Rhinolophus ferrumequinum: one gene and its partner. The protein of the gene in region 2 purifies or fractionates together with the protein of the main gene of each other region. This does not show direct contact. Links are inferred from orthologs where the notes say so. Each region holds a gene or a part of one and is shown on either strand. Other genes may lie near its edges.

Region 1 (3,745 bases), on a different chromosome or scaffold from region 2:
CTGTCTCTGAGGAAAGGAATAGCATGGCTGGAGAACAGAAGAAAAGACTTTTCACTGAATATCCTTTTATACCCTCTGAATTTTATACAGTGTAATGTATCAACTATTTTTAAAAACCTGTGTAACAAAATTATTCCAAGTGTCAGAAATTCCTGGCTTCTATAAGCCAGAAAGTATACTAGCACTAAAGAAATGTGGAGTTCACTTGAATGGCACTCCACTGTAAATCTGCATCTTCAATTCCAGTGCAGAGCTACCCACACCAACAGTAGGGAAACCTTGCAAATAGTTCCTTTCAAGTTTGCTCAACTCACCACAGTTGAGCTATTCTCTGCTGTATCACTCATTCCATTCAAATTTAAACACTAGAAACAAAACCTTGGTACTACAAAAATTAATGTATCAATTCAAGAATTAAAAATAAACTAATGAGCTATGAAAGGAGCAATGACCAAATACATCTTTGAAAATTAGCAAATCAATAACACACACACACATACACACACATAGTAAAATGCTGCAAATTCCCTTAAAATGTAGACTGCTGTACTATAAAAATGTGGAAAAGATGTCAAGCATCGTGCCTTAGCAACATAATTCAAGCAGCTTGAACTAGAAAATGCAATATGATCTACTGTGAGACACAATTGCACAATCTCAATTACCCAGAAGATTCTACTGAACAGGAAATTCATGATGTGAGTGTGACTTTAAGAAACAGGGGAATTCTATTTAAAGACTAATATGTTCAAAAGCCTGGAATTTGTTCCAAAACAAAAAGTAATTGTATATAGACCCCTTTCCAATGATGTATGGGTATGAATTTACATGAATCAGTTTCAGATCAGGAGCTCTCAAATTACATTAAATCTAAAATACAGTGAAAAAACCTTGGAAGTTAGAGAAATTAGTGTAATTACTTCAGGTCCGGAAATTTTAAGGTATGAATTTAATGCAAAACACACTCACAGTGCGAATTAAAGCTGAAAAGTGTCTCTTCCTTCCTTTTTTATATATTCCCTATCCTTACGAAAACCACTGTGTCCTCAGGCTATAAATGTAGATAAGTTCCCTGCAAACTCTCTCAGGGACTTTAAAAACACAGTACTATTCACAAGAATTATCGCAATTAAAAAAACATTTACAATACCTCCCACCATTGTTCCTAACTTTTTGATCTTGAGGGCGTCCAACGGATCTGAATCTTACTTGCACCAAATGAGAAAATAGTTTTGTCAAACAATACTTAAATGAGCAGTGGTATGTGACTAATCAGCGAGGCCGCCAGTTTCTCAAGCTGCAGCGTTCTTGCCAGCACTACCACCCACCCCCCACTCTGCGAAAAGGAAATACGCTTTCAACCGAATCGGAAACACACCACTCGAGTTGGCACAGTGCTCACCGAGATAAAGTCGGTATTTTAAGCTCTATGGGTCGCTGCTAATTGAAGTGCGAATTCAAAAAGAACGCTTCTCAAAATGGGATTTCGACAGAGGTTTGCAAAGAAACCAGGACAGAACGCCCTTCGCCGCCAGTTTTGTTCGGTTTACCGCCGTCTCCCGGTCGGGCTTTGCTCTTCTGCTTCTCGGGGCAGCTCCCCGGGTTTGTCTGCTCAGAGGGCAGGCTCCGGAGCCCATGATGGGCGCACCTCCGGAGAGGGTCCTCCCGCTCGACGCCAGCAGGGAGACCCCCAGAAAAAGCCTCCCCCGGAGCAGCAACCCCCAAGAAAGGAATGTGCAGGGTGCGAGCCAGGGCTGAGCTCCAGCACGACCCACCGCCCACCGTGGACCTGCGTCCTGCACACAGCTGACCACCTACCTAGGTGTGTGCAGGGTGAGGGGTGCAAGGGGCACAGGGAGTGCTGGACAGGGGTTGAAGGGGCAGCGATGCCCTCCCCCAAGGAAAATTCCTGCCGCTTGGTGCATCGCTGAGCCGTGGGGGCAGGCCTGGCTCTGGGGCATGCAGGGCCAGCCAGCCACCACAGCCCCAAGCCCAGTGACACTCACCACACGGAGCCATAGGCGCCGGAGCCCACCGGGGACAGGTTCTGATAACGCTCAGGCACCTCCCAGATAGTCTTGTTCAGTTCCTGCCGGTAAAACGTGGGCCTTTCCTGAGACATCTTCCAGCAGCGGCCGCGGGGCGAGGAGGTGGCCCTCCGCGGGCCCCGCCTGCACCCGCACCCGCTCCCTGGCCCTCGTTGCCCGCCGGGTGGGGCTGGGATCCCGCACTGGCCGCACGCGCAGGTGCGGCTGCCGCGACCCCGCCGACTCCCGCGCGCGCTGCCCCTGTCAGCTGCAGCGGCTGGACGCGCCTGCACGACGAGGGCAAGCCCTGCTAAGAGCAGGGGCGCGCTCCGGCGCTCAGGGCTGCGCCGGCCACGCTCTCCCTGCACCCTCTCCGGACCAGGCCGACTCTGGGCTACGCCACGGGACTAGGGCTACAGCAGCTGTGCCCGCTGAGGTTTCAGTGGTCGCCGTTCCAGAGCCAGCGAACAGGAGCCTCCCGCCGTACTCTCGCGAGAACAGCTCCCGAGACTCTACGCGAGCCGAGATTTTACCCAATATGGAACCTACCCACGGGAGGGGCTTGAGGAGGGGAGAGGACGGGAGTAGCAATTCTCGCGAGAAGAGAGCAACAGCTGGAGACCAGAGGCAGGAACTCTCGGGGTATGTTCTTATTAAGGGCGCGAAGGCGGACCGGGGAAAGAGAGAATAAGCAGGCAACACATGCTGCGTGCGCCCCACTGTGGTCGGCGGAGCAACTGCCTGGCTTCGTGGTGAAAAGCGACAGTGACAGATAGGGTGTCGGGGAAAAGAGCCAAAAGATCTTTGAACAGTGGTTAGTTACCAGCAGTAGAGCACCTGCTCAGCGGAATCCCAAATTTCCAAGAAATAACTGCATTTAAAAAGAGAGAGAGAGAGAGATTCTGGCCAAAAAGCCGTAACATTCCCATCTGCTCAAGGACATATGGCTTACTCTTCAGAATTTTGATGAAATCTGTCCCAAAAGCAAATATTAGCCCTTCATTAAGGCTGAGATTTTGCACCCAAACTCTCCTAGTAGTTCTCAAACTTTTATGTGCAAAAGAATCACATTGGGAGTTTAAAAATGCAGATTCCCAGGACACACAAGGAGTCTGATTGGATTAGTCTGTGATGGGCACCAAGAATGTGCAATTTTACAATATGCCTCAGGCATTTCTGATTCAGGGAAGTCTCTGATGCTTTTCCCTTAGAAAAGCATTTTTAAAACCACTACGTTGAGGGTTTGAAATTGACTCCTGACATGAAGAGCTTCCACTGAAGAAGATTTTGAGGATTTAATTCATGCCTCTCAGAGTAAGAAAAGGGCAGAGTAGTCTTCTGACAGTGTCTTCTTAGGCAAGTCAGTGGGCCTTTCTTAGACCTTAGTTCTGCAAAAGAGAATTCCTGTCTTACCTTCCCACCTAGTAGGGTCATTTATCAAGCTGACCAAGATAATAAATGTGATTGGGCAAGTTAGTATAACCCTATCCATATGCTGAAGCTTGTTACAATAAGCAGAAGAGTTGGACCCTATCTTATTCTCATAGTTATTTTGCTTAGAAATAACTAGGTCCAAGCCAGGACAATGTTCTTCACTTCCCGTGACTATTCTCTTTTGTGTTGTGCATCCTTTGGAGTGCTCAGACTTTGCCTGTCTTGTCCCAGCATCTAACACAGTGCCTGGAACATAAAAGATACCCCATAAATATTTGTTGAAC
Region 2 (3,745 bases):
CCCGTTCCAGTCGAGAGTGATGAGTAAGGTGCCCTACCTGCTCAGGAAGGAGGAATCCACAGGACCTTTCTTTCCATCACCACCTTGATTAATTCATTAATGATTTTTTCAGGCTAGTTTTTATTCAGGCACTTTGGGACACTGTGAGTCAGAGGTTGGCATCAAAACCAGAATAGAAGCCATTGTCCTCCCTGGGGATCCTACTCTGGGCTTTAAATTCCCAGATCACACAACTTCCTAATTGGAAAGAAATGTTTTTAAACAAGAACATAGGTTTTGCCAGGCCTCACAGTGACTAATAAGGTTGGTCTAAGGACTGTCTGATGAGAGAGTGGATTCACATGTCACAGTGAATTTTTAAAGTATTTTCCCCCCAGAGGTTTACTGCTGAATATAAATAAAATCTCTCTCCTTGGGTAATCCCATCCCAGCTCCTGCAGATATGCCTTCGTTAATTAAATTAACTTTGAAATAACATTCAAACAATGTCTTCCTTCCAAATGCCTTTTTCTCCAAGATCTACTTATTGACAAGCTGTTTCACAAGTTCCTGTGTAAACTGATTGAGTGTCCCATCCCCAGCCTGCATACTAACAGGAGACAAATTTTATCTTCTCTGTAGTCAGTATCGGGTAGCCCACACATTGTATTCATTTAACTGTATACAGAAAGGCCGACAAATTTAAAATAACAACAATTAAAAAATTTAAAAACTAGGTGCTTAAATAGGATCCAGATAAATACAAACTTTAAATCTCATTTGCTGAAATTCACACAGCTGAAGGCAAATTCCTGAGTTCAGGAGAGGACTTTTTTTTTTTTTTTTAATTAGTCTCTTTCAAAAATCAGGCATTCGCGTTCGTAATTAAAGCGGCTCTTGGCTTAAATCCATTCGGTCCGAAGCTGCGGTTCCCCTCCAGGGAGCGGGCGCGCAGGCGCGGGCACGCACACGTGGGCACACAATCGCTCACACGCGCCCGCCCACACCCCCTTCCTTATTCATCGCCAGAGGGATTTACGGGCTTCGCCAGCACGCATTACTGTCAGGTGCAAAAAGCAAGCCTTTCTTCGGTGGGCATTTTCCTCCCCCGGGATTGACTTATTTACGGGCCACGTGAGCGCTGGGTGGGGGTCGGCCCGCCGGGAGGCGACCCCAGCGCAGGGGAGACAAAGGCTGGCAGGACGCGGCCAGCGCGGCCCAAGGACGTCTCCCCAGCTCCTACAACATATGCGAAATTGGCCTGGACCTGCCTCGCCTGAGAGGCTCTTCCAAGCCCTTGTGAAGGCGTCGACGTTTCCCTGGGCAGGGAGAAGTCCCGGCCCCGGGGCCTGGCAGGGGCGGGATTCCTGGTCTGCCCGGGACAGCGGATGAGCCCGGGACGGTCGGGGCATGGGGGGCTCCTTGGAAAGCGCGTTTTCTGGGAGTACCAGGGAGAGCCAGGCTTTAGACAGAACTTCACAGCCACCTCAGCCTATGAGAAACCGGACCCAAGCCCCTTTTGACCTCGGGAGCGAGTACAAACCCGTCCCCACCGGAGAGGCCACGCAATGAGCCTTTGACCGCTGGCTTCCACCCGGAGTGCCCAGCGCCCGAGGTCCCGCCACCCGGAAGCCTCCTTCGATCCGCCGTTGTGGCTCCTTCCAGGGCTGGAACTAGAGTGAGCAGTGCGCCTCGGACGCAAAATTTAAGGAGCACCAAAAAGTCTGCGGTCAAAATAAATAGTATCTTCATGCAATGATTTTTAAGCAATTAAAATTAATGCAAAAAATTGTGATGAACAAAATATTAAATTCTAAATAGGGACACAGGATCACTGCAATACCGTGCTGAGCAATTTTGTAGTCCCAGGTAAAGGAAGATCCCCGGGCGGGGGAGTCGGGTTGCCCTAGGCCTCGGAAGTGGAGGCCCCCTGCGGGCCTCCTAGGGGAGTGGAGGGATGGCCCTGGGGGCCGGAGGTGAGAGCTTAGGCGAGGCGCTCCGCGGAGAACAAAGGCGGAGCGGAAAGCCTAGTTGGAGGCCGGAGAGACCCAGCAGGTTCCGCGACGAATGGTTCCTGGGGCCGGGCTTCCACGCGGACCTGGAGTGGAAGATTCGACCCGCTGCCACCGAGGCCGCGAGCGAGTCCTGCAATACCCCGCTCGTTGATTAATTCTCACTAACAAGACTTGGCAAGATGTCGGGCGAATAATTTTTGGCTTCTGGCGTGTCCCCACCGCGGCGCTTATAAACCCCCAGCCAAAAGCGGCCTCTGGGAAATTAAATGCATAAGTAAAACTGGGGGCGGGGAAGAATGCTACATGACCTGGAAAGCGGGATGCAGAGACCCGAATCGCCCCAGAGCTTATTTCTTTGCGCGTAGATTTCTCAGGGTCTAGCTTCGCACAAAATGTGGACCCTCAGTGTCATTTACTGATAAGACAACTCACAAGTGTGCAGGATGGGGTGGGGACTTTTCCAAAGCCGAAAACGTCGGGTTTTTTTTGTCCCCTAACCCTCTACCCCCGGGTTAAACAAGTATCTTTAGAAAGCGTGGACTGGAGGGGCACCCCAGCCTTTCTCCAGAGGAACAACATTCCGGCAATGAATGCCTCCCTCTGGCTCGTAAAGAGACAGACCCAACACCTCGCTCCCATTACTGGGCTTCGGCGGGAGAGCTTTCTCTTTCATCTTCTAAGTTGGGGCTTGCCCACGTCCTCGGGAAGCTGTAAAGCTGATTTAATGGCTTAAGATGAAAATCGATCACGCTAATGCATAAGCTAACGTCAGAGGAATCGCATTTGAAAAAAACGACTGGCCGGCCGGGCCGAACGCGCTCTGTAAGCTTGGAGCGAGGAGGTCCGAGGCCCTGCTGTCCGGGTAGCCGTGCCACGGTCCCTTCCTCTCCCGAGCCGGGGAGGAGGCCTGCGAGGCCGTTAAAGGTAAAGCACAGAGGTAAAAAGGGATGAAATCTCAAAACCGAGCCCTGGCCTCGGTTAGGTCGGATTCGCGACGAGCTAATTTCTTTTCGCCTAATGCCGCAGCCGGGTGGCATGGCTGCACCGCGACTCGTGCGGAGCAAGACTGGCGCGGCGGAGGCCAGGACCCGCGGGCTGAAGACTAGAGGCGTCGCTGCGCTCCATTCACAAAGTCCGGGAGCGCAGCTCGCCTGCGGGTCGAAGGCCGCCTCCCTCTTCCTCTAGGTCCAGGTTTTATGAATGGGCCTGGCGGCGAGCGCCTAGCTCCCTGTTTACTCCGCTCTTTGTGACGTCTCGTTCCCGTGACTGGGAGCGAGCGCCTGGCACTCCATTCACGCGCCGGGTAGGGGGTGGGAGGAGGGGCCCACTGGGAGGAAGGAGCAGGGATGGGGCGGGGAGCAGGCAAGGGGGGCGGGAGGCGCGAGGTCCCGAATGGAAAGAGGCGGGGCCTCATAAGGTAGTACTGAATCTGCCTCCTCCCGGGAGGGAGCAGAGGAGCGTTAATAAATCTCTAAGCGGAGGAGGAAACTCCGGCTGGGGTAGGGAGCCGAGCTCCGGCTTCTTGTGGGGAACGGCAGCGGAGCCGTAACGCCGGTGCCGTCAGGAGCAGCACAACCGGCCAAATACAAAGAGGCCACATCAGAAGGGAACCCTTGGCCCTTTGCCGTAAACACAGCCCCCTCCACCGCCGACTGCCCCTCGCACCGCGCGCGGTACTGTCTGGCTCCCGAGGCCGCTAGGACTGCTATGTGATTGCCAGACTGCAGGAGGAAGGGGACTGGGGAGAAGAG

The links. The genes of interacting proteins can lie anywhere in the genome.
Region 1: the proteins of DUSP4 (region 2) and MAPK14 purify together in Homo sapiens (affinity purification with mass spectrometry; 3 studies listed by BioGRID and IntAct, with this or other methods). This does not show direct contact. The link is inferred for Rhinolophus ferrumequinum from reciprocal best matches to the Homo sapiens genes DUSP4 and MAPK14.

The regions. Positions count from the first base shown.
Region 1 is NC_046286.1:5,992,163-5,995,907, reverse strand, and holds the start of MAPK14 (mitogen-activated protein kinase 14), read right to left. Parts: upstream 2,472-3,745; 5' UTR 2,123-2,471; coding exon 2,007-2,122; intron 1-2,006. UniProt on the Homo sapiens protein: Serine/threonine kinase which acts as an essential component of the MAP kinase signal transduction pathway.
Region 2 is NC_046287.1:68,037,906-68,041,650, forward strand, and holds the start of DUSP4 (dual specificity protein phosphatase 4), read left to right. Parts: upstream 1-821; 5' UTR 822-3,745. UniProt on the Homo sapiens protein: Regulates mitogenic signal transduction by dephosphorylating both Thr and Tyr residues on MAP kinases ERK1 and ERK2.